Linked DNA regions of Anolis sagrei. The protein of the gene in region 1 interacts with the protein of each later gene in a pairwise test. Links are inferred from orthologs where the notes say so. Each region holds a gene or a part of one and is shown in the gene's direction. Other genes may lie near its edges.

What was found.
Region 2: the proteins of GCM2 (region 1) and FHL3 interact in binary tests that used the Homo sapiens proteins (3 or more experiments, as listed by UniProt). The link is inferred for Anolis sagrei from reciprocal best matches to the Homo sapiens genes GCM2 and FHL3.
Region 3: the proteins of GCM2 (region 1) and heat shock transcription factor, Y-linked-like interact in binary tests that used the Homo sapiens proteins (3 or more experiments, as listed by UniProt). The link is inferred for Anolis sagrei from reciprocal best matches to the Homo sapiens genes GCM2 and HSFY2.
Region 4: the proteins of GCM2 (region 1) and RBPMS interact in binary tests that used the Homo sapiens proteins (3 or more experiments, as listed by UniProt). The link is inferred for Anolis sagrei from reciprocal best matches to the Homo sapiens genes GCM2 and RBPMS.

What each region holds. Positions count from the first base shown.
Region 1 is NC_090024.1:83,306,951-83,314,781, forward strand, and holds the start of GCM2 (chorion-specific transcription factor GCMb), read left to right. Parts: upstream 1-4,831; coding exon 4,832-4,921; intron 4,922-7,432; coding exon 7,433-7,685; intron 7,686-7,831. UniProt on the Homo sapiens protein: Transcription factor that binds specific sequences on gene promoters and activate their transcription. Through the regulation of gene transcription, may play a role in parathyroid gland development.
Region 2 is NC_090034.1:86,441,304-86,448,624, reverse strand, and holds the start of FHL3 (four and a half LIM domains protein 3), read left to right. Parts: upstream 1-4,318; 5' UTR 4,319-4,475; intron 4,476-7,218; exon of another isoform or gene 7,219-7,278; intron 7,279-7,321. UniProt on the Homo sapiens protein: Recruited by SOX15 to FOXK1 promoters where it acts as a transcriptional coactivator of FOXK1.
Region 3 is NC_090030.1:36,551,566-36,559,402, reverse strand, and holds the start of heat shock transcription factor, Y-linked-like, read left to right. Parts: upstream 1-4,819; 5' UTR 4,820-5,067; coding exon 5,068-5,616; intron 5,617-7,837. Other genes in the region: TMEM185A (transmembrane protein 185A), read left to right, coding at 1,861-2,105.
Region 4 is NC_090022.1:150,009,344-150,016,749, forward strand, and holds the start of RBPMS (RNA-binding protein with multiple splicing), read left to right. Parts: upstream 1-4,387; 5' UTR 4,388-4,791; coding exon 4,792-4,854; intron 4,855-7,406.

The sequences.
Region 1 (7,831 bases):
AGTTTGAAAACATGCAAATGTGAGTAGATCAATAGATACCACTCCGGCGGGAAGGTAATGGCGCTCCATGCAAGGCCTCATGATCTTGGAGGTGTTTATGGACAACTCCGGCTCTTCGGCTTAGAAATGGAGATGAGTACCACACCCCAGAGACAGACATGACTGGACTTAATGTCAGGGGACAACCTTTACCTTATAGACTGGGCCACAGTTTCCCCTTAGGAGAGCATAATTAAAAATGAGGCTCTGTCCATGCAAGTCTATTGATTAAAGATGTATCATTTCATAGATTTTTCCTTCCAGTCTTAAATATATCATCCTATTCAAAGTTAAGATGTTAGCCATGTGGAAGGGCCCAGACTGCCAGCTTCAAAGTCTGCAGGAGTTCACTTGAACGGATAACATATTTCCTGCTAAAACACGTAAGAACCATCTACCCAATTGGGTCTTTTTTTTTTTTGCTTCAAAATTTGCCTGCCAACAATACAATGTTGTGCTTTCCCAAGGAAAAGCATCTAGCAACAGAGAAACAATCTTCATTTTAATGCTTCAGTCTGATTAGGACTTGAGTGGGAATACCCCAAGGAATAATATTAATTATTATTATTATTATTATTATTATTATTATTATTATTTCTTCCCTGAGATTGATGCAGTTTGACACCACTTTGAACTGTTATGGCTCCATGCTATGCAACCCTGGGAGTTAAAGTTTGGTAAGGCACCAGAACTATTTTGGATAGAATGTGAAATAGTGTGCCTCCCAGGACTCCATAGAACTGAGCCATGGCAGTTGGTGTAAAACTGCATTAATTCTATAGTTTAGATGCCCCCTTAGCCCAGGAATTATCAGGGGCAGTTTAGCCAGTTCCTTCCTCAGAAATACTGTATAACCCATATCACTTGGTCAGTAGAGCTCCGACAGCTAGATCAGCTGTCACAATTTAAGACAAAAGTGAAGCCTTATCTCTTCTGGCAGGCCTACCCTGATGGTTTTAATGATGATTTTTAAATTTCCACATTATGTCTAATTTTTGCATGTGTATTTTGTGGAAATATGTTTTAGTATTAATATGTGTATTTTGCAGAGTATTTTTAAATGATTATGTGTTTTAGCAATATTATAACCTGCCATGAGCCAAGTGGTGTCAAACTGCATCAATCTCACAGTGTAGATGCATCTTCTAATACCTTAGGAAGTTAATGGGGTTGCCGTAAATCATCAGGCGACTTGAAGGCACAGACACACACACACATAAAGGGATGGTGTCATGATTTCAGAGAGTCTAACATGCAAAACTGTACATGCTCAAAGCATGTCTTAAACCTGGAGTCTCTGAAACAATCCATGGTGCATCTACACTCTAGAATTAAAGTAATTTGACACCACTTTAACTACCAGGGTTCAGAGTTACATAATGTATAATTTGGTGAGGTAACAGCATTCTTTGACAGGAGAAGCTAAAGAGTTTGTAAAGATTTGACTACAACTCCCCGGACCCCATAGACTTGAACCAGGGCAGGAATTATGCATTAATTTTAATATTCCTTATATTTACTGGAAATTGATAGAACTAGTAAAATGGAAATACATTATAACATTTGTCTTTGGGAGGGGAGATGTCAGTTGTAGTTTTTAAAAATGTTATAATGTATTTTTAAAAGGAAAGATACAGTGGTAAGATAGTTGTGGAAAGGGAGCATTAAGGGATTATATTTTTGAATTTGATGTCCTTTTTTTTTTACCTTAGTGCCTGTGATTTCATTTTATTCTTGGTGTTTTCTTTAAAAAAAATTCCCAACTGATTGCATTTAAGAAGCATTTTTTAAGTTTTTAAGTTTTTAAAAAAACTTCTAAAGTGCAGATGTACCCAGAGAGTGGGGGGAATGAAGCCTTACACCTCCCTTTTAGGGATGAAGAAAGGAGGAGCTCCCATCTCTACCCACGTGGTTTTCCCAAGGTGGAGATCTGGTATGTGGGAGGGTGAAGGTTGGGGCAGAAAAAGTGCTTTTCCTCACAGGCGTAATCCAGAAGGAGAGGCGAGATGGAAAGAGCATCTCCTGAATGATTTCAGCACCTAAGGCAGTGGACAGAGGCCAGGAATAAATCATACAAATAAGGCCCAGCAAGCAAGTCCTTGTAGCTTTCTCTACAAAGGTAAGTCCCATTGTGCCCTTTGCTACTTCCAAGTTCTTTCTTGCTTTTTCATTTGCTTAATGATTTAGATGAAGGTTTAGAGGGCATACTTATCAAGTTTGCAGATGATATCAAATTAGGAGGGATAGCTAGTACTCCAGAGGACAGGATCAGAATTCGAAACGACCTTAAGAGATTAGAGAGCTGGGCCAAAACTAACAACATGAATTTCAACAAAGACAAATGTAGGATGCTACACTTAGGCAGAAAAAAATGAAATACACAGGTACAGGATGGGTGACACCTGGCTCTACAACAGTCCATGTGAAAAAGATCTTGGAATCTTAGTAGACCAAAAGTTGAACATGAGTAAGCAATGTGATGCAGCAGTTTAAAAAGCCAATGAGATGTTGGACTGCATCAAAAGGAGTATTGTTTCTAGATCAAGGCAAGTCATGGTGCCTTTCTATTCTGATTTGGCCAGACCTCACCTGGAATACTGTGACCAATTCTGAGCACCACAATTCAAGAAAGGCATTAACAAGCTGGAACATGTCAAGAGGAGGGCAACTAAAATGATCAAAGGTTTGGAGACCATGCCCTATGAGGAGCATCTTAAAAAGCTGGGTATGTTTAGCCCACAGAAGAGAAGGTTGAGACATGATAGCCATGTATAAATATATGAAAAGATGTCATAAAGAAGAGAGAACAGGCTTATTTTCTGCTGCTCTGGAAACTAGACTCAGAGCGATGGGCTCAAATTACAGGAAAGGAGATTCTACCTAAATATTAGTGAAAAAAATCCTGACTGTAAGAGGTGTATAACAGTGGAACTCTCTGTCTCATAATCTAGTGGAAGCTCCTTCCTTGGAGAGAAGGAGACTGGCCATTGTTAGGGATAGTTTGAATGTGCTTTTTCTGCATGGTAGGGGGTTGGATTAGATGGCCCATGTGGTCTCTTCCAACTCTAGGATTCTAGGAACTTCAGTCTCCTGTTGAATTATGGTGACCGCATAATTTTATGGGGTTTTCTTAGGCAAGGAATACTCAGAGTTGATTTGTCCAGTTCCTTCCTCTGAAATAGAGCCCACAGTACCTGGTATTCTTTGATAGTCTCGCATCCAAGTAGTAACCAGAGCTGACACTGCTTAGCTGCCAACACCAGGCAAGATCTGGTGCATTTGGACTACTATAATATGTTTTACATCAAGGGTTGCATCTACATTATAGAATAAATGCAGTTTAACACCATTTTAACAGCCATGACTCAATGTTATGGAGTCTTAGGATTTGTCGTTTGGTGAGGCACCAGCACCCTTTGGCAGAGAAGGCTAAAGACCTTGTAAAACTACAACTCTAGTGATTCTAATGCATTGAGCCATGGTGGCTACAGTGGTTCCAAACTGCATTCATTCTACAGTTTAGGTAAACCCAAATATTTCCTTTCTTTCAAGGATCTCAAATCTGCCTACACTGTTCTCTCCTATCCCACCTTTATCCTGGGAAGTATATTAGTGTGACTAATAATGACTGTCTTAAAATAATCCTGACTAAGTGAGCATTTGACCACCTTCATCATTGTCCAGTCATTCCTTTGCCCCAGCCTGGCCTTAGCAAATTTACTTTTGTCTCAGCCTCCTCTCTACTTGTAACGTAGGTAACTATGTACTGTCTCACAAGGCTACTTGCTAAGCTAATAAGGTACCAATGTGAGAGATCAAAATTTCTACAGCTGGTACCAAAAGTGAGCAAAATTAGCATGCATGCCTGCAATATATGTCCATTCAGGCAAGAATTTCATAGTTTTCCCTTACACATTGGATATTATCTGCATGTGACAAGTTAACACCACTATACCCTACAATCTCATAGGTTGAATACGATTGTTTTCCAGGGGTACAGTATTGTTTTCCAGGGGTAGAGTATTGGATCTAGAGACCTATTCTGGATCCACCTGGTCTTTCACAGTGAGGGCATATATTTCCAGATTGAAGATGGTTATGACAAGGGTTTGCTTGACGTGCCTTGCTCTTGGCACATTTCTCCCTTTCATTCTCTATTTGTACCTCTTCAAAATCCACAGCACTGCTGGTAAGAGCCTACCAGCAGCTGGAACACATAAATAGGGCTTCTCAGTTCTCAGTGCTTATTCCACATTGTTTTAGGTTAGCTTTAAACCCATCTTTAAATCTCTTTTGCTGTCTAGAAACCTTCCATTTTCCATTGTTGAGCTGAGAGGAAATAATTGCTTTGGGAGACAGTGATCAGGTATTTGGACAATGTGGCTGGCCCAGTGAAGTTGTTGATGGAGAAAAACAAGAGTTTTATAAACAAGCACCTTGGTATCCATATCAACCTCAACCTCCTCAGATACTCTGCTTCATTTAAAAAATGCTATGCTCACAGAGTAAATGTGTAGGTATACTTTTAAGAACCACGTGGAGAGATTTTGAGAATAGGTTCAAAAAAGTTAATTTTCCATGCCCTTAGTTATGCTAGAATTGGTAGTTTTTATACAGACATAGTGATGCGTTTAAAAAATAGTCCACTTGATGAGAAAAATGATATTCTAAGATTTTGACATCTAGAAATGACAGTGTAATTCTCACCTGGTAAGAAAGGCAAAGTAAATATTTGTTCTATTTGTTTGTTCGTTTTTTGCTGGTACCCTGTTCCTTTAGGTGATAAAGAAACATGGCAAAGGATCACTTTGAGAACTCTGACTATGTCTGTTCCTTTGGGATGAAGCTAACGTGGGACATCAATGACCCCAAGTTACCACAGGTAGTGGACAGCACAAAAGGTTTGGAAGTAAGGGGGTGACCTACCAATATGATTTTATGGGCCAGTTTTCTAAGGGCTTTTTATCAAAACATTGATCAGTTTCAGGTGGTTTTTTTGTGTGTATTTTTTTAGAATTTTACAAGTTTCCTCCCATACCAGTTCTGCCTCTGGTAGAAATATTTTTTCCTGTCTAAAAATGGATATAAATGTGTATTTTGTTATACTTGTATGGTACACGCATGTATGCATTTCTATTTAGTCCCCTAATTATTAATATGTGCTTGTTGTTGTTATTCATTTTTTTTTGCATTTTTAGCTATAAACATCAGCTTTGCTCAGTAATACTCAAGTTCTGAGCATACTTTATTCCTCTGAAATGCATTGCCAGTTTCATAAATGTGTGCATTTCTTGAAAAAGGTATGCTTTGTCTCAAAACTCGTTGCAGGAGACATGAAATTAACTTTAACTAAGCAGAATGCTTCTCTATTCCTATTTTTCACATTGCAAGATGAAGCACGTTTCAAACTAAATTCGTATCATTCAAATGATGATACCAACAAGTCATAGACTTGCAGTAATGGTATTTTATTCAGTATACATCCTTCCAGATACACTACATTGCTCATCTCACCCAGTGTTTTTAAACATTTTAATCTTTGCAACTGGCCCTGCCCATTGTGTCCAATTATTGTGGTTTTATATTGAATTGTGTGTTTACTCTGTATTGTTTTTTGTATTATTATTTTATTATATTTTATTGCTGTATTTTTTATGTTGTATATTTGCTTTGTTGAAATTGTTGGGCTTGGCCTCATGTAAGCCACCCCGAGTCACCTTGGGGAGATAGTAATAGGGTATAAATAAAGTTGTTGTTATTATTATTATTATTATTATTATTATTATTATTATTACTATTGATGGAGACCTTCTTACATTTTTATCATTTTAATCATAACACCTCTTCCATAAAAACAAAAGCAAAAAAGATGAAAAATAGTGATGTATGCATGTATATCTAAGGAGAGTGTTCTATTTACTGCTGTTTTTAAAGTATTTGACAATTAATCAATTCCTGCCAGAAGATGAGAGAATGAGGTGTAATGCTGTTTTATTAAAAGTAGCATTTTAAACTGGATATTGGCAAAGAGGGTTGGAAAATCATGTTGCTTATCACAAATATATTCACAAGAAAATGTCATTTCGGCATGGTGACATTTGCACAACTGCAAGCTCACAACAGATTTCTTGATTTTTTTTTCATGTCAGGAGTGACTTGAGAAACTGCAAGTCGCTTCTGGTGTGAGAGAATTTGGCCATTTGTAAGGACATTGCCCAGGGGATGCCTGGATGTTTTACCATCCTGTGGGAGGTTTCCTTCATGATTCCACATGAGAAGCTGGAGCTGACAGATGGGAGCTCACCTCACTCCTCGTATTCAAACTGACGACTTTTCGGTCAGCAGTCCTGTCGGCACAAGGGTTTAACCTAGGCATCCTCAAACTGCACCCCTCCAGCTGTTTGGGCCTCCAACTCCCAGAAGCCCTAATGAGCTTGTTCAATTGTCAGGAATTAGGGGAGTCGAAGGCCCAAAGAGCTGGAGGGCTGCAGTTTGAGGATGCCTGGTTTAACTCATTGCACCACTGGGGGCTCCTGTTGATTTAAGTAAAATCTGTGAGTCGCCCCCGGGCTGAGAACAGCGGTATATAAGCAAAGTAAATAAATAAATAAATAAATAAATTATAGTAGTCTTGAGAAGGCATTGAGGAAAATGTGCCTTCAGGTTGCCTGTGAATGTATAGTGAACCCAATGGCCTAAATGCACTAAAGTCATCAGAACATTCTGATTTTGGAAGCTAAGCAAGGTCAGCACAGGTTACTATTGGATGGGAGACTGCCAATAAGTACCAAATGTTGTGAGCTACATTTCAGAGAAAGGACTGGGCAAAACCCATATGAAATTCATTGGGTCATAATACATCAAGACACATCAATTTTATAGGATTTTCTAAAACAAGGATTACTCTAAAGTCATTGTATGTTGCATTCCTTTGAAATACATCCTACTATCCCTGTGATATTCCTTTACTATACATTTCTTCCAAGTAACAACAAGGCCTGATCATGATTAGCTTTCAAGTTCAGAGGGCATCTGGTGCCTTAAAAAGTAATATATCAAAAATGTGCAACTTAAAATACATCTTGGCATTCTTTAGAAATGTGTGTGTGGAGTTCACTCAAGCAGCTTCTTAGATGCCAAATGATAAATTACTAATATGGAAAGACTACCTGTATGGCTGGATCTACATAATACAACGTAGTTCCAGCCTGTGTCTTGTGCTTAGAGAATTGAGGCATTGCATTGTACAATTAACATCTCTATTATGGATCTTGTGAAACCTGAATTCCGCATTGAATTTGGTCTCCTTCTTTAAAACTGAAATGTTATGTCACTATATTCTTTGCCTACTTTCTTCTCCTCTTTTTGTTCATATCTTTATCTCTGATGCCAGGAGCCCAAGCACTTTGATTCCTTCCAGGAGTGGCCAGATGGCTACCTGCGGTTCATTTATTCCAGTGAAGATAAAAATGCTCAGAGGCACCTCAGTGGCTGGGCCATGCGCAACACTAACAACCACAACTGCCAAATTCTCAAGAAGTCCTGCCTTGGTGTGGTGGTGTGTGCCAGGAATTGCACCCTTCTAGATGGGACCAAGCTGCAGCTTCGCCCCGCTATATGCGATAAAGCTCGTCAAAAGCAACAGAGTGAGAGCAAGGGGATAAAGCAATGTTTTTCACATGGGGTGTCTTTTCTTTTCTTTTCTTTTCTTTTCTTTTTTTGAGCTGACTCTATAACTGAATTCTTAATTACATATGGAAAAATATACTGAAATTTACAACACTTGAATTGA
Region 2 (7,321 bases), on another chromosome or scaffold:
CGATAGCCAAGCAAAGCAATAATGTGACCCACACATTCTTGTGAAATGTCGATTATGCTTGAAATTTCTCTCTGAGTGAATCGTCCTGAATCAATCTGTCAACCTTTTGCTTGGGAAACTCGGTGGTTGCTGTCACAGGACGTCCAGCTCTTTGTCACGCAAGTCAGATGTTCCTCTCAACATCTTTAAACTTACTCGCCCAATGACACACAGTACTCACATCAACACAATCACCATGAACAGCTTGCATTCTCTGATGAATCTCCTTTGGGGTGACATCTTCTGCTGTCAAGAATTCAATGACTGCACGTTGCTTAAGTTGCATTGACCAATCATCTGTGCAGGGTTCCATACTTTGCACTTTAACAACACAAACGTTCAATGCTAAGGCTTCCCGCCAAAATGGAACTGTGGAGGAGAGTCTACTGAACAAGCCAGGACCTGCCACATACCAGTACTGCCATCTGTTGAGGAATTATGAAGATGGAGGCATCTAACCCTCATATTTAAGCAGTGCTTCTTGTAGGTCGGGAAACGATCCGGGGTAACTCCCAGGTATTTTGGTGTGCTGCAATGCTCCAGTGGGATTCCTTCCCAGATCATCCTCAGAATTCAAGATGCTTGTCTGTTCTTAAGGTGAAAAGCACATGTCTGTGTTTTAGATGGATTAGGAATCAGCCATTTCCCCCTGTAATAGGCAGTAAGAGCACCTAAAGCTTCAGAGAGCTTCTGTTCAAGCATTTCCAAGCTCCCTGCTTGGGTGGTGATGGCATGATTGTCAGCATAGATGAAACTCTCTGTCCCTTCTGGCAATGACTGATCATTTGTGTCAATGTTAAACATTGATGGAGTGAGCACGCTTCCCTGAGGCAGGCCGTTCTTCTGTTTTCGCCATCTGCTTCTCTGGCCCTGGAATTCAAGAAAAAAGTTCATGTTTTGTAGCAGATTTCCTATGAAGCGGGTGAGGTGGTAGTCCTTTGTGATAGTGTAAGTTTTTCTCAGGAGAAGACGATGATTTACAGTGTCACAAGCTGCTGACAATGTAGATGAAACTAACTGTCCATTCTGGCAATGGCTGATCATTTGTGTCAATGTTAAACATTGATGGAGTAAGCACACTCCCATTTCAAAGCTCCCTGCTTGGGCAGTGATGGCACGATCATCAGCATAGATGAAACTCGCTGTCCCTTCTGGAAGAGGCTGGACATTTGTGTAATTTTTTTTGTCGTGTCAGGAGTGATTTGAGAAACTGCAAGTCACTTCTAGTGTGAGAGAATTGGCCGTCTGTAAGGACGTTGCCCAGGGGACGCCCGGATATTGTGATGTTTTTACCATACTTGTGGGAGGCTTTTCTTATGTCTCTGCATGAGGAGCTGGAGCTGATAGAGGGAGCTCATCCACGCTCTCCCTGGATTCAAACCTGCGATCTGTTGGTCTTCAGTCCTGCTGGCACAGGGGTTTAATCCACTGCACCACCGGGGGCTCCTCATTTGTGTAAATGTTAAACATTGATGGAGGAAGCACACTCCCATTACAAAGCTCCCTGCTTGGGCGGTGATGGCACAATCATCAGCATAGATGAAACTCCCTGTCCCTTCTGTCAGAGGCTGGACATTTGTGTCAATGTTAAACATTGATGGAGCAAGCACACTCCCATTTCAAAGCGCACTGCATGGGCGGTGATGGCACGATCATCATCATAGATGAAATTCTCTGTCCCTTCTGGCAGTGGCTGGTCATTTGTGTAGATGTTGAACATGGATGGAGCGAGCACGCTCCCCTGAGGCAGGCCGTTCTTCTGTTTCCGCCATCTGCTTCTCTGGCCCTGGAACTCAACAAAAAAGCTCCTGTTTTGTAGCAGGTTTCCTATGAGGCGGGTGAGGTGGTAGTCCTTTGTGATATTATACATTTTTCTCAGGAGGAGGCGGTGGTTCACAGTATCATAAGCCGCTGACAGGTCTATGAAGACAGCTCCTGTGGTCTGCTGCTTTTCCAAGCCATCTTCTATGTGCCGAGTCAGGTTCAGCACTTGCGATGTGCAGCTTTTGCCTTTCCTGAAGCCAGCTTGCTGTGGGATCAGACAGGGGTCTATTTTTTCCATAATTCTATGCAGAATAAGTCTCTCCAGAACTTTGTAGAGGTGGCACAGCAGGGAGTTTGGTCTGTAGCTTTTTGGATCATTACGGTCTTTGCCTGGCTTCAGGATGGCAATGACTCTTGCTTTCCTCCAGATTTTGGGGATCTGACAGGATGCAGTGCAGTTGTTCATCAGCTCCAGTAACCAGCACTTTGCTTTTGGGCCAAAGTTCTTGATTTGTTCCATTTGTAGATCATCCAAGCCAGCTGCTTTGCCATTCTTACATTTATTGAGAGCCATGTCCAATTCAGTAGATGTAAAGGGTTCGTGAAGGTTGTTGTTCTCAATCTCTTGTTGTCTGGCTATTGGTTTCTTTCCTACTTTGGTGGCAAGGTTGGGTTTCCCGTTCTTCAAGAGTTGGTGTGCTATCTGATCTGCCTTTATGTTGGCATGGGTATTAGTTTGTGAGGGGTCGTTGCTCAGCCATCTTAGCAACCTCCACGCCTTCTGGCTGCTCCTGCCCATGTCGACCTCTGTGATCAGATTGATCCAATGTTCTTTCTTGGCTTCAGAGATGGAGGACACAATGTTCTGCACTGCCTGAAGAGTCTGCTCACTAAATGGGCCTTCGAAGTGGAGTCTGTAATAGTTTTCCAACAAGGCAGCTGTTTCAGGAGTAATGCCTGAAGGTAGTTGGTTCTGCAGCCTCTCGGTATCGAGGCCCGTGAGCAGGTTTTCCCGATTTCAATAAAATGCTCGTATTCCTCAGGGATTGGCGCGGCCGATGTGATCATGTCATCTAACATGTCTGAGAATTTAGTCCAATCTGCCTTTCTGAAGTTGTATCTTTGTTTAAATCGAACTTCCTGAGGCCTTATTGTTGGGAACAGTTGGCATATTATTGGTCGGTGCTGTGTGTTTGGAATTGGTGGTCCCACTGATTTAGTGCAGTGCTGTACAATGCTGTCGCTCACAAATAAGAGGTCTGGGCAGGGGCGGCTCGTCCATTACGCGAAGTAAGCGGTCGCAGAACACTCTTTTTTTGCCAGGGGTGCAGAGGTGCCTCTGTAAATGCCCCTCGACCGCCACTTGAGGAGCGCCCCCTCAGCTCACAACAGCCCTAGCAGTCCAGGGGGAGCCTCGTCTTTCTTGCCTCGCTGTCGGGCGATCCTCTTCCCAAAGGGGCCGTGCCCTTGAGCCTTGCCTAGCCCCTCTCGTTCCTGCTCCACCCGGCCACCGGGTGCGCAAGCAGAGCCAGCACTCAGTCATTCTCCGCGTTTGATCCCTTCCCCATGACCAGCTCCCTTTCCTGATCCCCCGGCGCTCCACCCGCCTCCTCTCCCCAATCCATGGGTGGGCCAAGGGGCGGAGCCACTGCACCTGGCCCGCTTCGGGTCCGGAGGGGTGTCTGAAGACCCCAGCGTGCGCACCAAAAGTCGCCTCTTCTCCTGACTTTCTCTTCAGCCATTGGGACCAAGAGAGAGAGAGAGAGCCCCTCTGGCTGGAAGTATCTCCCACCTCCGCTCCCTCCTTTGTTTTTGCGCCTACCTTCAGGAAAGGTGGGCATCTCCACCTCTCTCTCTCTCTCTCTCTCTCGGTCCCAATGGCTGAGAAGAAAGTCAGGAGAAGAGGTGACTTTTGGTGCACACGCCGGGGTCTTCAGGCACGCCTCCGGACCCAAAGCAGGCCAGGCAAGGGAGCGAGTGTGGCAAGTGTAGTTACTGGGATGTATAGTTCACTTACAATCAAAGAGCATTCTGAACTCCACCAATGATGGAATTGAACCAAATATGGCACACAGAACTCCCACGACAAACAGAAAATATATATCAATGATTGGTTGGGGGTGGGGGGGGGCGCCAAAATACTGTTTGCTTACCGTTGAAAATTACCTAGGGCTGCCTCTGGGTCTGGGTTATAGCCTCGGTGCCATCTCCCGCTATTGTAGGATGGGGGGAGCTTGCTATCATGGATGAGTGATAGTTTGTGCAGTTCAGACCAGGAGAGGACAGCCTCTCCATTTCTGTCCTCTTGGGCATAGCCCCATACGTGGCTATGGCTGTTGAAGTCACCAATTACTACCGCCCTTTGGTGCCTATCGAAATTCTCGGGGGAGGAGAAGCAGAACTCTTCATTTGGGGGCTTGTACACAGAGGGGATGGTGAGGGAAGGAGAGGGGCGGGGACTTCAAGGGGGCGGGGCCGCAGAGGAGTGGGCGGGGCTCAGTTGGGGGTTCCGCCCCTCCCACCTCCTCCCTTCCAGCCGGGCGGGGAAGAGCTCCACCTTGGAGGGACGGAGGGAGAGGCGCGGGCAGGACGGGCCCGGTCCTCCGGCGCTGGACGGGAGGAGGAAGGCAGCGAAAGAAGGAAGGGAAGAAGGAGCCCCGAAGGAGGAGCAGGTGAGGCCAAGCGAGGGAAAGAAGAGGGGTCCAGGAAGGGGGGAGCCTTGAGGAAGGGAGGCTCTTTGTCCTGGGTGGGTGGGGGTCTCAGTCCAGCGCCCCACAAAGGACATTCATTGAGAAACAGGCGGAGGGAGAGCGGGCCAGCTCCCTCCCTCCTTTTCCTTTTCCCTTCCTTCCTTCCTTCCTTCCTTCCTTCCTTCCTTTAAAAGAGGCATGTGGTGCTTCATTGGGGGTCGTAATGCCCTTGCCCCCCCCCCCCATCCCCTCAGGAAGTCGTCCAGGGAGAAAAATCAACATCACCCCTAATCATAATAATGAACTCTACTTCCCTTGTGAGGCTGAGGGGCTCCCAACAGGACTAGGGTGTCCCAAGGCCAGCCTTTCTCAATCTGAGGGTTGGGACCCCTGCGGGGAGGGTCGTGAGGGGGGTGTCAGATGGGTCGCCCAAGACCATCAAGAAACACAGTATTTGTATTTGTTGGCCCGGGGGTTCTGGGTCGAAAGTTTGGCCCAATTCTCTCATTGGTGAGGTTCAGAATGCACCTTGATTGTTGTTGAACTGTAAATCCCAGCAACTACAGCTCCCAAACGTCAAGGTCTATCTTCCCCAAACTCCGCCAGTGTTCACGTTTGGGCATATTGAGTTTTCGTGCCAACTTTGGTCCATATCCATGCTTTGATTGTAGGTGAACTATCAATCCCAGCAACTACAGCTCCCAAATGTCAAGGTCTATTTTCCCCAAACTCCGCCAGTGGTCACGTTTGGGCATATTGAGTTTTCGTGCCAACTTTGGTCCATATCCATGCTTTGATTGTAGGTGAACTATAAATCCCAGCAACTGCAACTCCCAAACGTCAAGGTCTATTTTCCGCAAACTCCGCCAGTGTTCACGTTTGGGCATATTGAGTTTTTGTGCCAACTTTGGTCCATATCCATGCTTTGATTGTAGGTGAACTATAAATCCCAGCAACTGCAACTCCCAAATGTCAAGGTCTATTTTCCCCAAACTCTACCAGTGTTCACATTTGGGCATATCGAACACTTGTGCCAAGTTTGGTCCAGATCCATCCTTGCTGGAGTCCACAGTGCTCTCTGGATGGAGGTGAACTACAACTCCAAAACTCAAGGTCAGTGCCCACCAAACCCTTCCAGTATTTTCTGTTGTTCATGGGAGTTCTGTGTAAGATTGGTTCAATTTCATCATTGGCGGAGTTCAGAATGCTCTTTGATTGTAGGTGAACTATACATATCAGCAACTGCAACTCCCAAAAGTCAAGGTCCATTTCCCCCAAACTCCACCAGTATTCACATTTGGGCATATCGAACACTTGTGCCAAGTTTGGTCCAGATCCATCCTTGCTGGAGTCCGCAGTGCTCTCTGGATGGAGGTGAACTACAACTCCAAAACTCAAGGTCGATGGCCACCAAACCCTTCCAGTATTTTCTCTAGGTCATGGAGGTTCTGTGTACCAAGATTGGTTCAATTCCATTCTTGGTGGAGTTCAGAATGCTCTCTGATTGTAGGTGAACTATAAATCCCAGCAACTACAACTCCCAAATGTCAAGGTCTATTTTCTCCAAACTCCACCAGTGTTCACATTTGGGTATATTGAGCATTTGTGCCAAGTTGGGTCCAGATGCATCCTTGCTTGAGTCCATAGTGCTCTCTGGACGTAGGTGAACTACAACTCCAAAACTCAAGGTCGATGCCCATCAAACCCTTCCAGTATTTTCTGTTGTTCATGGGAGTTATGTGGGCCAAGATTGGTTCAATTCCATCGTTCGTGGACTTCAGAATACTATTTGATGGTAGGTGAACTATAAATCTCAGCAACTATAACTCCAAAATGACAAAATCAATCCCCCTGCAACCAGGCATGTAGCCAGGGGGGGGGCTTGGGGGGCTTCAGCCCCCCCCGAAATTTTCATGGTGGTTCGCGAAAAGGCCTTAATGGTGCATTATTTAAACTGTTATGTTTATTCATATCATGATCTGATCACCATAATCAATATATCCCATATGCATGGGGGTATTGGGGTAACGATACAAAAGGTTTGCTAGGCTAGCCCCTCTTTCACTCAGACTCAGCCCCCCCCCCCCCCGAAACTCAGCCCCCCCCGAAACCCCCCCTGAAAAAAAAATTCAGCCCCCCCCGAAACGAAATCCTGGCTACGGGCCTGCCTGCAACCCCACCAGTATTCAAATTTGGATATATCAGATATTTGTGCCAAATTTGGTCCAGTGAATGAAAATACATCCTTAATATCAGATATTTACATGACGATTCATAACAGTAGCAAAATTACAGTTATGAAGTCGCAACACAAATAATTTTATGGTTGGGCGGTCACCACAACATCAGGAACTATATTAAGGGGTCATGGCATTAGGAAAATTGAGAACCACTGCCCTAGGCTATCTGTCCTCCCCGAATGGGATGCAGCCCAGGCACAAAGCAGTGCTAAACCCAGGGCGGGGTGGGTGCCGGGGAATGACTCTGGCTTGCAATGAAACAGGAGACTAGGGGGTGAAAGGGGGGGGGGGCTCCTGTCCCACTTCCCCACATCCCTCCCCACAATGGCTGGGCCTTTAGTCCAGAGGGGCTCTTACAAGGAGGGCCTCTCCCCCCTCCACCACCCAAGTTTCCAGATGTCTAGAAGGGAGGAGGCAGCTGACTGAAGCAGACCCTTCCTTTCTCCCTTCCTTTTTTTTCTTCCTTCCCCTTTTCCTTCCTTCCTTTGTCTGCCTTCGCCTCCGTCTGTCCCGGTGACTCAGTGGAGAGGCAGCTCAGGCCAAAGGTGAGCAATACCATCCTCCTCCTGAGTCAGCAAGGATTTTGGG
Region 3 (7,837 bases), on another chromosome or scaffold:
AGCTGTACCCACCACGCGTTACTGTGGCCAACCTTCCCTCTTTCTCTCCTTCTTTCTCCTTCCTTCACTTCCTCTTTCTTTCCTTCCTTCCCGTCTTTCCTTCTTCCTTCCTTCTCTATCTCTTTCCTTCCTCCCCACTTTTCTTTCTCTTCTGCTGCCTCTCTTTTCTTCCTTCTCTTTACTTCTTTACTTCCCCCCTCTTTCTCTACATCTTCCCCCTTCCTTCGCTCCCTCTTTCCTTCCTTCTTTCCCTTTTTTCTTTCCTTCTCTCCTTCCTTCTCTATCTCTTTCCTTCCTTCCTCCTTCTTCTTTCCCTCCCTCTTTCTCTTCTTTCTTCCTTCTCTACCTCTTTCCTTCCTTCTCTCTGCTTCCATGCTTCCTCCTCCCTTTCCTTCTTTCTTTCCCTCCCTCTTTCCCTACATCTTCCCCCTTCCTTCGCTCCCTCTTTCCTTCCTTCTTTCCCTTTTTTCTTTCCTTCCCTCTTTCTCTCCTTTCTTCCTTCTCCCTTTCCTTCATTCGTTCCTTCCCTCCCTCTTTCTTTTCTTTCTTTCTTTGTTTTTTCCTCCCCTTCCCTCCCTCTTTCTTCCCTTTTTTTGTATTGTCATTTAGCTTTTCGTCATTTAGCTTTTTGGGGCTTTTTAAGTCCCTTCTGCTGTTTTTTTTCAGTGTTTTTATGAGTGAAGGACATACATTGGGTTGTTAGGTGTCTTGTGTCCAAATTTGGTGTCAATTCGTCCAGTGGTTTTTGAGTTCTGTTAATCCCACAAATGAACATTACAGTTTTATTTATATAGATTACTAGCCATCCCCTGCCACGTGTTGCTGTGGCCCACTCTGGTGGTCATGGGGGTTCTGTGTGGGAGGTTTGGCCCAATTCTATCGTCTGGCGGGTTCAGAATGACCTGTGATTGTAGGTGAACTATAAATCCCAACTACAACTACAACTCCCAAATGTCAAGGTCTATTTCCCCCAAACTCCATCTGTGTTTATATTTGGGCATATTGAGTATTCGTGCCAAGTTTGGTCCAGATCCATCATTGTTTGAGTCCACAGTGCTCTCTAGATGTAGGTGAACTACAACTCCAAAACTCAAGGTCAATGCCTACCAAACCCTTCTAGTGTTTTCTGTTGGTCATGGGAGTTCTGTGTGCCAAATTTGGTTCAATTCCATCGTTGGTAGAGTCCAGAATGCTCTTTGATTATAGGTGAACTATAAATCCCAGCAACTACAACTCCCAAATGTCAAGGTTTATTTCCCCCAAACTCCATCTGTGTTTATTTTTGGGCATATTGAGTATTAGTGCTAAGTTTGGTCCAGATCCATCATTGTTTGAGTCCACAGTGCTCACTGGAGATAGGTGATACAATGCCCAAACTCAAGGTCAATGCCCTCCGAACCTTTCCAGTATTTTCTGTTGGTCATGGGAGTCCTGTGTCCCAAGTTTGGTTCCATTCCATTGTTGGTGGAGTCCAGAATGCTCTTTGATTATAGGTGAACTATAAATCCCAGCAACTACAACTCCCAAATGACAAAATCCTAATTTTTTGAGTGATGGTCACTCCTTGTGTTGTGAGACGTTTTGTTGCCAAATTTGGTGGGATTTTGTTTATTGGTTCTTTTGTTTTTAGGGAACTCATTATGCACAGAACATTTATATATATATAGATTAGCATAGCACAAGAGACAAGATGGTGGTGATGGGGGGGGGGGTCCCCAACTGGTGACACATGCAGGAGACAATTGGACGTGTTTTTTCCCTATGTGGGGTTGCAAGGCATTGTGGGGTTGGCCACTTTTTTCTGTGGATTGACACTCTCAATGACCTCCCCCTTTTTCTTGTTTTGGAAACGCGGCGCAGGGTGGTTTGGAATCCGCAAGGACTTCTGCCAATTCCTCCTGGAAATCTTCCCCTTCCTCCGAGAGTACGGCAACATTTCCTACGACCTGCACCACGAAGACAACGACGAGGCGGAAGAGACGCCCATCCCCGAACCTCCCAAAATCGCTCCGATGTTTCGGAAAAAGACGGGGGTGGTTATTACGCAGAGTCCTGGGAAGTACGTCATCCCGCCTCCCAAGCTCAACATCGACATGCCCGACTAAGTGTCCCCTCGGAGGCGCCTGCGTGGACTCTTCCCGTTGTGGAAACGACCGGGAACCAGCGGCCAGCGCGTTTTTATCTCATGCCTTTCTTTTGTTATGAATCGTGGTGTGTGCCTCAGTGGCTTGTAACGTGGAGATCACGGAGATTTGTCTTCAGGTCATTTCTGTTACCATGGCAGGAAAATCAATGAGAAGGCGACATGTAAGCTCAGGCTCAGGCGTGTCAAGGTCCTGATCAGAATTGGTGGAACTTTTGTCCCATGTCACCGTTTCCTTTCTTCTCATCTGTGTCCACAGTTCCATGTGGGCAAGACCGGCTGAAACCAGTGGCCTTCATGCACATGTCACTCTGGACTGGATTTCGGCGGACGAGGAGGGCTCCTCTTTGGGAACCTTGGATTCACGCTTGCCTGTATAGTATTTATATGAACCTTTGGCAATGTAATATATTTTTAAGAGTCTGTACAGTATAAATATGCAAAAGTATTTTTAAAAGGCTGCGTGAAGTGCATCATCGATTGTGAATGACGTGCTTTGTGTTCATCTGTTTCTGTTGGCGTCGCACAGCCATGTGATGTCCCACCCGCATGCTTGCCTTGTCCTCCTCGCACGGAACTAGGAGCGCCGTCTTCGAAACATGTCCGCAGGTAGGACTTGGAAGTTCCTCCCCTCTTAAGGGATCCAATTGCCTGGATAAAGGTATGTAAATTATTGTGTAAACGGCCACATTCTTTGTATTGTCGAGAGGGGAAGGAGGAGGAGGGGATGGTTTCCCACTTTTGTTAAAGTGCAAAACCCTGGGTAATAATACCTGTTTCTCATCCCCCCACTTTTGGCTGTTGAATAAAAAGTATCCTCCTGGAATCCTTGATGAGCCGACCCTTCTTTGTTCCCGAGTACGTCTTGCAATGCTTTCGTTTATTGGGAATATACTTACAATTCATGATGGAGTTTCGCTGGTTGGAATATCTATCTGTTTGGCAGGAAAATGGGAAATGCATTCCCTGTCATCCTTGGGTTCCAAATGACAGTGTTCAAATTCAGTCAAAACACTGTGCCATGCTTGGATCTACAATATATTGGCACAGCACTTACTGAAGTGAAGAAGGAAAACAGGTTGTGCCACAACTCTGGGAGCCCATGAAAAGGTCTCTTCAAAGGCTTTGAAGTTGGGTGTCCATGTTATTTCTCACACTAGCTGGACCTGCCACAGGTTGCTGTGGCCAACCTTCCCTCCCGCTTTCTTTTCTTTCTCTCCTTCCTTCCCTCCTCCTTTCTTTCTTTCTTTCTTTCTTTCCTTCCTTCCTTCCTTCCTTCCTTCCTTCCTTCCTTCCTTCCTTCCTTCCTTCCTTCCTTCCTCTCTCTTTCCTTCCTTTTCTTTTTTTCCCCTTCCTTCCTTCCCTCCTCCTTTCCTTCCTTTTTGTTTTTTCTCCTTCCTTCCCTCCTTCTTTCTTTCCCTTTCTTTGCACTCTACATGGGGCTGCCCTTGAAAACGGACTGGAAATTTCAACTGGTCCAGTGGGAGGTGGCCAGGTTGTTAACTGGTGCTCCTTACAGGGAGCGGTCAACCCTCCTGTTTAAGGAGCTCCATTGGCTGCCATTCATTTTCCGGACCCAATTCAAGGTGCAGGTGCTCACCTACAAATCCCTGAACGGTTTGGGACCCGCCTACCTACGCGACTGCATCTCTGTGTACGAACCCACACGTATCTCTTCGTTCATCTGGAGAGGCTCTACTTACGATCCCACCTCCATCGCAAGCGTGATTGGTGGGGATGAGGGATAGGGCCTTTTCGGTGGTGGCCCCTCGACTCTGGAACTCACTTCCTAAGGACATCAGGCATGCCCCAAGTCGAAAGGAGGAACTTGAAGATGTGGATGTTCCAGTGTGCCTTCCCGGAATAATGATCCCATAGCACTTTGTCCCTCCAAAGCACTTTACATTTTTAGATCTGCTCGTATGTCTTCCACAAACGCCACTATCACCTTTTCGCCCATGTTCCAGCATTATTTCCAATTTTAATTTTACACTTGGCCTTCCCAGTTTTAATTGTATGTTGTCTTATTGGTAATGTTGTATGTTTATTGCCTATGTTTTTATTTTATTTTTAATTGCTTGTACTGTTGTTATTGCTTGTATTGTTGTATTCGGGTACGGCCTCATGTAAGCCACACCAAGTCCCTTGGGGAGAAGGTAGCGGGGTACAAATAAAGATTATTATTATTATTATTATTATTGGCCTAATGTAAGCCGCACCGAGTCCCTTGGGGAGATGGTAAAATAAAGTGTTGTTGTTGTTGTTGTTGTTATTATTATTATTATTATTATTATTGGCCTCATGTAAGCCGCACCGAGTCCCTTGGGGAGATGGTAGTGGGGTACAAATGAAGATTATTATTATTATTATTATTATTATTATTATTATTATTATTATTGGCCTCATGTAAGCTGCACCGAGTCCCTTGGGGAGATGGTAGCGGGGTACAAATAAAGTGTTGTTGTTGTTGTTGTTGTTATTATTATTATTATTGGCCTCATGTAAGCCGCACCGAGTCCCTTGGGGAGATGGTAGCGGGGTACAAATAAAGTGTTATTATTATTACTATTATTAAGACTCATTTCGTAACCAATAACATGAGCAGGATTGGTCACTTCCTCATGCCTCGAGTTCGATTTCAAATGCAATGGGTCTGGACCATTGTTTGAAGAAGCCAATGCTTGACCCTCAGAGCCTCCTTGGTTGAGTGAGGGTGCGCCGAGTGATGTTCCCAGTGATGTTCCCCTCATTATGGCTTCATTTGCTAGGAAACCAGAGTTCGTTTTGTGATGTCACACCGACACAGGATGGGTCTGATTGTGACGTTCTGGAACTCTTGATTGTAGCTCCAGCTCCTGGCAGGCTGTCCTCCTTTTTAGTAGGCCTGATGCTGCCTTCTTGGCAAGGCTGGACTCAGAGCGCCCATGGCTGCAGCTGAGAAGAGCTACCTGAGCGACAAGGGCGACCAGGACCTGGACCTTCCTCCTGGCCAAGCCGAAGAGGACAGGATCCACTCCGCCATCTCCCTTTCCTCGACTCCGCTGCACGACAAGACGGCGGCTGGCGACTCGGCCTTGAGGTCCATGATCGAGGAGAATGCCTTCCAAGCGCTGAGCGACGCTCCCTGGCCAAAGAGACCCCGGCTCTCCCTCTGCGACGACGGCTCTCTCGAGGACAGCGACTTCCTCTCCCTCACCTTCCCCAAAAAGCTCTGGAAGATTGTGGAGAGCGAGCACTTCAAGTCCCTGTGGTGGGACGAGGACGGGACGTGCGTCGTGATCGACGAGGAGCTCTTCAAGAAAGAGGTCCTGGAGAGGAAGGGTCCCCTGCGCATTTTCGAAACGGATTGCATGAAGAGCTTCATCCGACAGCTCAACCTCTACGGCTTCAGCAAGATGAGGCAGAACTTCCAGAGATCGGCCTCCCTTGTGGAATTCTTGGCCGAAGAAAAGGCGGCCTACGCCTTCAGCAAGGTAAGGTCTGGCCGTGGCTTTGGGGACGGACCCCGGGCGCCTCGGGTTCCCCAAGGGCACGTCCACGCGCTCTCTCAAAATATAGATCTCCATCTCCTTCGAGGGCAGAAGAGGACACTCAAAGAGGTTCCGCTCCGAGTAGAAGACAACCCGAATCAATCCAACAAGTTCTGATCCTTCATGCCTACAGCCCCATCCATCCTGTTCCACCAAAACGAGGCCGGCATTTGCAAACAATGTCGAAGGCTTTCATGGCTGGAATCACTGGGTTGTTGTAGGTTGTATATGGCCATGTTCTAGAGGCATTTTCTCCTGACGTTTCGCCTGCATCTATGGCAAGCATCCTCAGAGGTAGTGAGGTCTGTTGGAACGAGGAAAAAGGATTTATATATCTGTGGAATGGTGACCAGGGTGGGACAAAGGACTCTTGTCTGCTGGAGCTAGGGGTGAATGTTTCAACTGACCACCTCGATTAGCATTTGAAGGTCTGGCGGTGCCTGGGGCAATCTTTTCTTGAGAGGTGATTAGATGTCCTTGTTTGTTTCCTCTCTGTAGTTTTGCTATTCTAATTTTAGAGTTTTTTTTAATACTGGGAGCCAGATTTTGTTGAAATTGTCCACATGCTTGTGGATTTCAATGGCTTCTCTGTGTAGTCTGACATGGTGGTTGTTGGTGTGCTCCAGCATTTCTGTGTTCTCCAATAATCTGCTGTGTCCAGGTTGGTTCCTCAGGTGCTCTGCTATGGCTGACTTCTCTGGTTGACGTAGTCTGCAGTGCTTTTCATGTTCCTTGATGTGTATGTTGGGCAATGCTGCTGCGTTTGGTGGTCCCTCTGGAGACTTCTTGTCCACAGCTGCATGGTACATGGTAGACTCCTGCAGAGGTGAGAGGATCCCTCTTGTCCTTTGCTGAACGGAGCATTGGTTGGATGTTCTTGGTGGGTCTGGAGATGGTTTGTAGGTTGTGTTTCCTCATCAGCTTCCCTCTGCGGTCAGTGGTTCCCTTGATGTCTGGCAGGAACACTTTCCCTCTGGGTGGGTCTCTGTCTTGACTCTCGTGGCTTCTTCTCGGTGGCCTTGCAGCTCTTCTGATGTCTGAGGTGGAGTCTCGCTTGGCCTGGAGAGCCCATCTGAGGTGGTTCAGTTCATCTTGGAGGAGGTGGGCTTCACAGATTCTTCTTGGCAGAATCTGCCAAGGCTTTAATGGGGCTTCTTTGTTGACTTGGGTGATGGTTGGAGTTTTTGTGTAGATCTCTATCTGTGTGTGTGGGTTTTCTGTAAACGGTGTGACCCAATTGTTGATCTGGTTTGCGGATGACTAGGACATCTAGAAAAGGCCGTCTTCCTCCATTTTCTTTTTCCATGGTGAACTGGATGTTTGGGTGGATGCTGTTGAGATGGTCCAGGAACCTGTTGAGTTCTTCTTCTCCATGACTCCAAATGGTGAAGGTGTCATCCACATCTCTGAACCATATGTTTGGGTGGATGCTGTTCAGATGGTCCAGGAACCTGTTGAGTTCTTCTTCTCCATGACTCCAAATGGTGAAGGTGTCATCCACATCTCTGAACCATATGTTTGGGTGGATGCTGTTCAGATGGTCCAGGAACCTGTTGAGTTCTTCTTCTCCATGACTCCAAATGGTGAAGGTGTCATCCACATCTCTGAACCATATGTTTGGGTGGATGCTGTTCAGATGGTCCAGGAACCTGTTGAGTTCTTCTTCTCCATGGCTCCAAATGGTGAAGGTGTCATCCACATCTCTGAACCATATGTTTGGGTGGATGCTGTTCAGATGGTCCAGGAACCTGTTGAGTTCTTCTCCTCCATGCCTCCAAATGGTGAAGGTGTCATCCACATCTCTGAACCATATGTTTGGGTGGATGCTGTTCAGATGGTCCAGGAACCTGTTGAGTTCTTCTTCTCCATGGCTCCAAATGGTGAAGGTGTCATCCACATCTCTGAACCATATGTTTGGGTGGATGCTGTTCAGATGGTCCAGGAACCTGTTGAGTTCTTCTTCTCCATGGCTCCAAATGGTGAAGGTGTCATCCACATCTCTGAACCATATGTTTGGGTGGATGCTGTTCAGATGGTCCAGGAACCTGTTGAGTTCTTCTTCTCCATGACTCCAAATGGTGAAGGTGTCATCCACATCTCTGAACCATATGTTTGGGTGGATGCTGTTCAGATGGTCCAGGAACCTGTTGAGTTCTTCTTCTCC
Region 4 (7,406 bases), on another chromosome or scaffold:
GGTGTGATATTTCTTTCCTCCTGAAAACTATTAAGATAAGGTTACCAAGCTTAAACGTTTAAATAGAACTGGGGGTGGCAAAACAGTAATGAAAGAGGAAATCTTGTCATGGGAAAAAGATATGAGACTAGCGCTGAATCTACACTGTAGAATTAATGCAGTTTGATACCACTTTAAGTTTTCATGGCTCAATGCTATTGAATCCTGGAAAGTGTAGTTTGTGAGGCAGCAGTACTCTCCAGCATAGAAGGCTAAAGCTCCTTGTAGAACTACAGTTCCCAAGATTCCATACAATTGTACACTGGTAGTTAGAGTGGTGTTAAAGTGCATGAATTCTGCCAGATGCACCCCAGGAATGGTTTTAGGGATCTCTCTCCATATATAGCTTCTCCTCTGCAATAAACTCACTTGAATTTCCCAAAAGTTTAGACTGGGAAGGAAGTGACTGGTTTCGCATGGTCTTTCAAATTGAGGACATACATTTCCAGATAGAAGGCAGTCCCAACAGGGGTTGGCTTGACATGCCTTCCTTTTGACACGTTTCTTCCTTTCGCCCTCCATTCGTGCCCCTTCAAATTCCACAGCACTGTTAGTTACAGCTGACCTCCAGTTAGACGTTCAAGAGCCAAAGCTTCCCAGATTCAGTGTTTATACCAAATTTTAAAGGTCATCTTTAAGCCCATCTTCAAATCTCTTTTGCTATCTACCTGACATTCCGTTTACGTTCTGAAACTAAGAGTAAAGTAGCAGCCTTGAGAGACGGTGATCGGGGATTCAGACAATGTGGTCGGTCCAGCAAATTTGATGGCGAAGGATCATGGCTTCAATGCTGGTGGTCTTTGCTTCTTCCAGAATACTGATGTTTGTACATCCATCTTCCCAAGAGATTTGCAGGATTTTTTGGAGGCAAAGCTGAGGCAATATTCTAGAAGTCAAGAGTGATGTTTGCAGATAGCTTTCGGGAGGAGTTGAAACTCCCCCCTCCCACCCTGCCCACATGACTTTTCAGATCAGTATCAACTGATCTGGTAGATTTTAAAAAGGCTCTGAAATTACCATCATTATGCAAAGGTTCTTCATGGTTTTCTTCTTCTTCTTTTTCGTGTCAGGAGCGACCTGAGAAACTGCAAGTTGCTTCTGGTGTGAGAGAATTGGCCGTCTGTAAGGACATTGCCCAGGAGACGCCTGGATGTTCTGATGTTTTTATCATCCTTGTGGGAGGCTTCTGTCATGACCCCGCATGGGGAGCTGGAGCTGACGGAGGGAGCTCATGAGTGCTCTCCCCAGATTTGAACCTGCGACCTGTTGATCTTCAGTCCTGCCAGCACAAGGGTTTAACTCACTGCACCACTGGGGACTTCACAGGTAATAGGTCCTGAATCTTTCTCCCTCTTGTCGGTCACAAAGGACAATAGTTTCCAAAATTGGCAGAAGTTTTTTTCTGTTTTTTTTTTCTGCTTTCTTCTTATTTCCTTTGTCGTGATGACGGTTTACGTCAAGATATTTTACCGTGAATTAGCAAGACATTTTCAGCCAAGCACAAGTTTTTCTGATGGTACTCTTCAGTTTCCACAGTTTTTACCTGCAATCCAGGTCAAATCCTCCTCCCTGTCCCGTGCCTTAGGCTTTGCCTGCTGGCTACCACATTTTGGCAGCTTCCACTATGTCAGCTATTACTGCTATTGCAATGTAAATTGGTAGAAAGGCAGGCAATGATAGTGTGAATCATCTAAATTTGGTTGAGAGAGTGCTTGTAGCTCTGGAGGAACTCTAATTGTTGCTTCTCATAGGCTTGGCATGGGGATTTAGTTAACCAGTAAAAATTCATGAGCAAACCAGTGTTTTGTTTTATTTTTGATCTGACAAATTTCAGGGAGGGTGTTGAATCCCTAAACTGCCCCCTTGGCTACAAGCTTGGACGGTCCATGTATCGCATATAATTGAGTTGTAAAGACCATAGTCTCATATCAATATATATCAATATATATCTATATCTATCTATCAATCATTATCAATACACATAATAAAAGTGAAAATCTGTATGTATGAGGCTGGGGTGCCCACTTTCACAGACAGGCTCCCGCCTCCATCAACAGCTATAACCCCCACCTATGAAGCGAACACCAAAGACCCTCCCTCACTGACATTGCAGGTTATAGCGATTGCCATAAACATGTCCAAAGAGCCCTGCCAATGTCCTCCACAAACACCACACTGCCCACCACCCAAGTGAAGGCTTTAATTCAGGGACAATTTCATCCTAGATTTTCTGTTTTTCCTCCGCCAAACACACCTCTTGGGGTGTCTGGGAATGATTTACGCCCCCTGGATTATCCTTTCTCCCTCTCTGAAAATCATGTTCCACAAAACATTTCCATGCGTTCATATCTTTTCCCTCCGCTTCATGTTTTCCTAGGCTAAAAGTGCCTCAACTTTCTCTTCCCCTCTCTTCCCCCTGCCAAGGGGGCCCCCAGCATCCCCATTGCTCCTTATAACATAGACAGTCAAAATCCTGTCTTGCCCCTATAGCTAAGGCTCTCTCTCTCTCTCTCTCTTTCACTCTGCACAGTCCCTCAACAACCCTTTTCTTCTTTCCTGGTCCATCTCCCTCCCCTCCCCAAATGCATGTGTGTGAATCTTTTAATGGCCCCTCTAACTGCCTTTAAATATGAGAAGGGCACTGTAGGGTCCAGGGGACCTCCCGGCACAGCTGAAATGAACCAGAAGACCACCTGACAAGGGACATCAGATCAGACTGGATCCAGGATCCATAATCCACTCCTGCCACTGTGGACAGCTACCTGGGTGGTGAGTCTGCGGGAGCTCTGCGGGTTTTCTCATGTGGCAGCTGGAACTCAGATGGCACAGGAGGATCCCAGAAGGGCAGGACCAGACCTCCAGCCACCCAGAAGAGACAGCCCCCCCTTGAGGCTGGGGAAGGCCATCACAGGAGAGGCCCCAGGAAGAGAAAACAGGATCCTACAGTGACCGCCATGAAGGAAGGATGTCCTGCCTTTGCCAGAGCTGTGCAAAGGGATGGCCCCAGGACCCCTGGAGCCCTCACTAGGTATGAAAGCTTTCCCCTCTCTCCCTACTAACCATCATAAATCAGTTAAAAACAATTAAAAACAGTAGCATAATAAACAGTCAATATAAATAAATAAAACATCTCATTAGCATCTCATAATAAAAATCAAGATCCAGTCTCATCATTCATTTGTTCCATATTCCTATGTTCGTTACACTGCCTATTCAAATGCCTGCTCAAACAACCAGGTCTTCAGTTATTTCCCAGTTGTCAATCATTCTTGTTGCCATAATCTTGGTTTTTTTACGTTTAGCTGCAACCCAGCTTTTGCGCTTTCTTCTTTCACCTTGATTAGAAGGCTCCTCAGCTCCTCCTCGCTTTCAGCCATGAAAGAGGTATCATCTGCATATCTAAGGTTGTTAATGTTTCTTCCAGCAGTTTTAACCCCAGCCTTGCATTCGTCAAGCCCGCACATGGCATTTTTTTCTTTTTGTCGTGTCAGGAGCAGGTTGAGAAACTGCAAGTTGCTTCTGGTGTGAGAGAATTGGCCATCTGCAAGGACGTTGCCCAGGGGACGCCTGGATGATTTGATGTTTTTATCATCCTTGTGGGAGTCTTCTCTCATGTCCCCGTATGAGGAGCTGGAGCTGATAGAGGGAGCTCATCCGCCTCTCCCCGGATTTGAACCTGCGAACTGTCTGTCTTCAGTCCTGCCGGCACAGGGGTTTAACCCACTGCGCCACCGCACATGGCATGAATGAATGGGAATGGAGATGTTGTTGTTCATTCGTTCAGTCGTCTCCGACTCTTCGTGACCTCATGGACCAGCCCACGCCAGAGCTCCCTGTCCGCCATCACCACCCCCAGCTCCTTCAAGGTCAGTCCAGTCACTTCAAGGATGCCATCCATCCACCTTGCCCTTGGTCGGCCTCTCTTCCTTTTGCCTTCCACTTTCCCCAGCATCATTCCCTTCTCTAGGCTTTGCTGTTTCCTCATGATGTGGCCAAAGTACTTCAGCTTTGTCTCTAGTATCCTTCCCTCCAGTGAGCAGTCAGGCTTTATTTCTTGAAGTATGGACTGGTTGGATCTTCTCACAGTCCAAGGCACTCTCAGCACTTTCCTCCAGCACCACAGCTCAAAAGCATCGATCTTCCTTCGCTCAGCCTTCCCTAAGGTCCAGCTCTCACATCCGTAGGTTACTACAGGGAATACCATGGCTTTGACTAGGCGGATCTTTGTTGCCAGTCTGATGTCTCTACTCTTTACTATTTTATGGAGACTGGACATTGCTCTCCTCCCAAGAAGGAAGCGTCTTCTGGAGATCGTGCTGCTTTATTGTGTAGACGTGCAGACGCCTGTCAAGCTTGGCAGGGGCAAGAGAGGGTAGCCAGCAGGCCAAGGCAGTGGAAGCCTCGACGGTTGAGCTTTGGCGCCGCCTCCTCCCCTCACGTGCCGCGGCGGGGGGTCTCGCGCTTCCCTGCCCTCCTTTCTCGCGCCGTCGAGGGCGCCGCCTCTCCGCCAATCAGAGCCGGGCGCGCGCGGAGACAGGGTGGGGTGGGGGGCTGCGCGCGCCCTCCTCTCTCCTCTCTTCTTCCCCTCAGCTCATTCCTTCTTCGCCTCAGAGGGAGACGGAGGTCTTATCTCGCTGCCTTCGCCGCCCCGCTTCCTCCCCGGAGCAGCCCCTGTATGCGGCTGGAAGAGCTGCGGGCGGCCAGGGCGAGTGCCCCAGCCCAGGAGAAGGAGGAGAGGGAGAGGAGGAGACCATGAACAGCGCGAAAGGCGAGCAGGAGCCCACTCCGCCGGAGCCCAGCCTGACCGAGGAAGAGGTACCCTTCCTGTGGGGAAAGTTGGAGGGCGCTTTCGGGGGCGTCTCTGTGGCTCGCGCAGCTCGGGAGGAGAGCGATTGCGCAACGCCGCTCCCGAAAGTTAAGGCTGGAAGGGAAGAAGGAAGGAAGGGAAGGAAAGAGCCAGGCGCCTCTGTTGTTGTTTCCCTACAAGGAAGGCGATGGCAGGGAGGGAGGGAAACAACAACAGAGGCGCCTGGCTCTTTCCTTCCCTTCCTTCCTTCTTCCCTTCCAGCCTTAACTTTCGGGAAACTTTTGTTTCCCTCCCTCCCTGCCATCGCCTTCCTTGTAGGGAAACAACAACAAGAAGGACGCCCGGTAATCGATAACGCATCCAGCACATTCTTTCCCTATTAGAATCCGATTTAGATCCAGGGGAAAAGGGTGGGAATCCAAAGCACAGGCTTTGAAAAGGGTGCGCCTCTACACTGTAGCATGAATGCGTATTGACACCGCTTGATCTGCTTCGTCTTTTTCATGGCGAAGGGGAGTTTGTGAAACTTTTTGTCGCGTCGTCCGGCGCCCTTCCACACAGCCCTATATGTATCCCAGAATATCAAGGCAGGAAATGCCACAGTAGCTGCTTTGAACTGGGTTATCTGAGTCCACACTCAGATAATGTGGGATTTTCTGCCTTGATATTCTGGGATATCCCCCCCCCCCCGTCACCCTGTATATATTTCTGTGCTTTGATGGCTTCATAGCAGTCGAATAGTTGGGTTGCTGTGAGTTTTCCGGCCTGTATGGCCATGTTCCAGAAGCATTCTCTCCTGACGTTTCGCCCACATCCATGGCAGGCATCCTTAGAGGGTTGTGAGTTGAATAGTTTGTGAATTTGTATTTGCTGAGCCTGTGGAAACCGATGGAAGTTCAACACTCAGGACCCTTCCACACAGCCATGTAACCCAGAATATCAAGGCAGAAAATCCCACAAGATCTGCTTTCAGCTGGGTTATCAGAGGGCCCTTCCACACAGCCATATAACCCAGAATATCAAGGCAGAAAACCCCACAAAATCTACTTTGGAACTGGGTTATCAGAGGGCTCTTCCACACAGCCATATCAAGGCAGAACATCCCACAAAATCTACTTTGGAACTGGGTTATCTGAGGGCCCTTCCACACAGCCCTGTAACCCAGAATATCAAGGCAGAAAACTCTACGATATCTACTTTGAACTGCATTATCTCAGTCTGCACTCAGATATTGTGGGATTTTCTGCCTTGATATTCTGGGGTATAGGGCTGTGTGGAAGGGCCCTGAGTCCACACTGACATATAACCCAATTCAAAGCTGATAATGTGGGATTTTATTCAGCTGTATAGTAGGGGCCTTGGACCACCTCTACTTCCATATAACCCAGTTTCTGAATCCAGATTATCTACTTTGGAGTGGATTATATGGCAGTATTAACTCGTATATATAATTCAGTTCAAAGCAGATAATCTCAATTCAGAAACAGGATTATATGGTGGTTTAGAGTGAGCCAGTAGGATCTGATGCGGAAGGTAGTTTGGGAGTGAAGTCACCTTTTCCTATAGGACCACATTGGAGGGATCAAGAAAGATAGCTATGCCAGGCATGGGCACTCTTGGGCCCTCCAGGGGGTTTGGACTACGATTCCCACTATTTCTAACAGCCTCAGGCCCTTTCCTTTTCCCTCTCAGCTGCTTGAGCCCAAAACTCAGCATAGCCTGGGCATGGGCAGATTTGGGCCCTCCTTTCCCCCTCAACTTAAGTGGCTGGGGGAAAAAAAGGAGGGCCCAAATTTGCCCATGCCTGGGCTATGCTGAGTTTTGGGACTCATTTTGGAGTATAGTGAAAGCAGCAGGATAACAAATCAGTTAAGAGTTGGTGCCAAACTGTGCTATCTTACTGGCACAAATAGCACTTTTATGGAACAACAGGGAGAAAAACATTTCCTGATGCTCCAGATTTGTCTTGCCTGTATTTTGGGGGGGGGGGGGGGGGGATGGGACCCTGATATGTAAGATTTATTCATTCTCGTCCCTTTGGGTAAGAGTGTAACGCTGTATTTCTTCAATACTAAAAAGCACTTTCCCCCCTATATAAACAGATCTAAAAATGGGATGTGCCTTAGAATTACAGGATATACAATCTCCAAGTTAGAAACATCCGACTTATATACGACTCATAGTTACAATTGGGGTTGAGACAACAGGAAGTGGAGAAATCTATCCATACGAAGGGATATCCACTCTTGTCATGGGGAAAAGTTGTCTCCACTGAAGCTTTATCACCAAAAATAACAACCAGAACAACTTTATTCTTATATCCCGCTACCATCTCCCCAAAGGGACTTTGGGGAGATGGTACAGGAAGCACAAAGTGCCTAAAAACAAAACATAAAAGTGTGAGCACAATATAAAACACAGTAAAATAAAACACATGCACATATAAAAACATCAACTCAGACTCAGTCAAACTGCGGTCCTCTAACCATGGCAGTAAATTGCTGTAAACACGGCCAAGCTGTAAACATTAGGAATCAAATAAGTGCCAGCTGCAGTAATG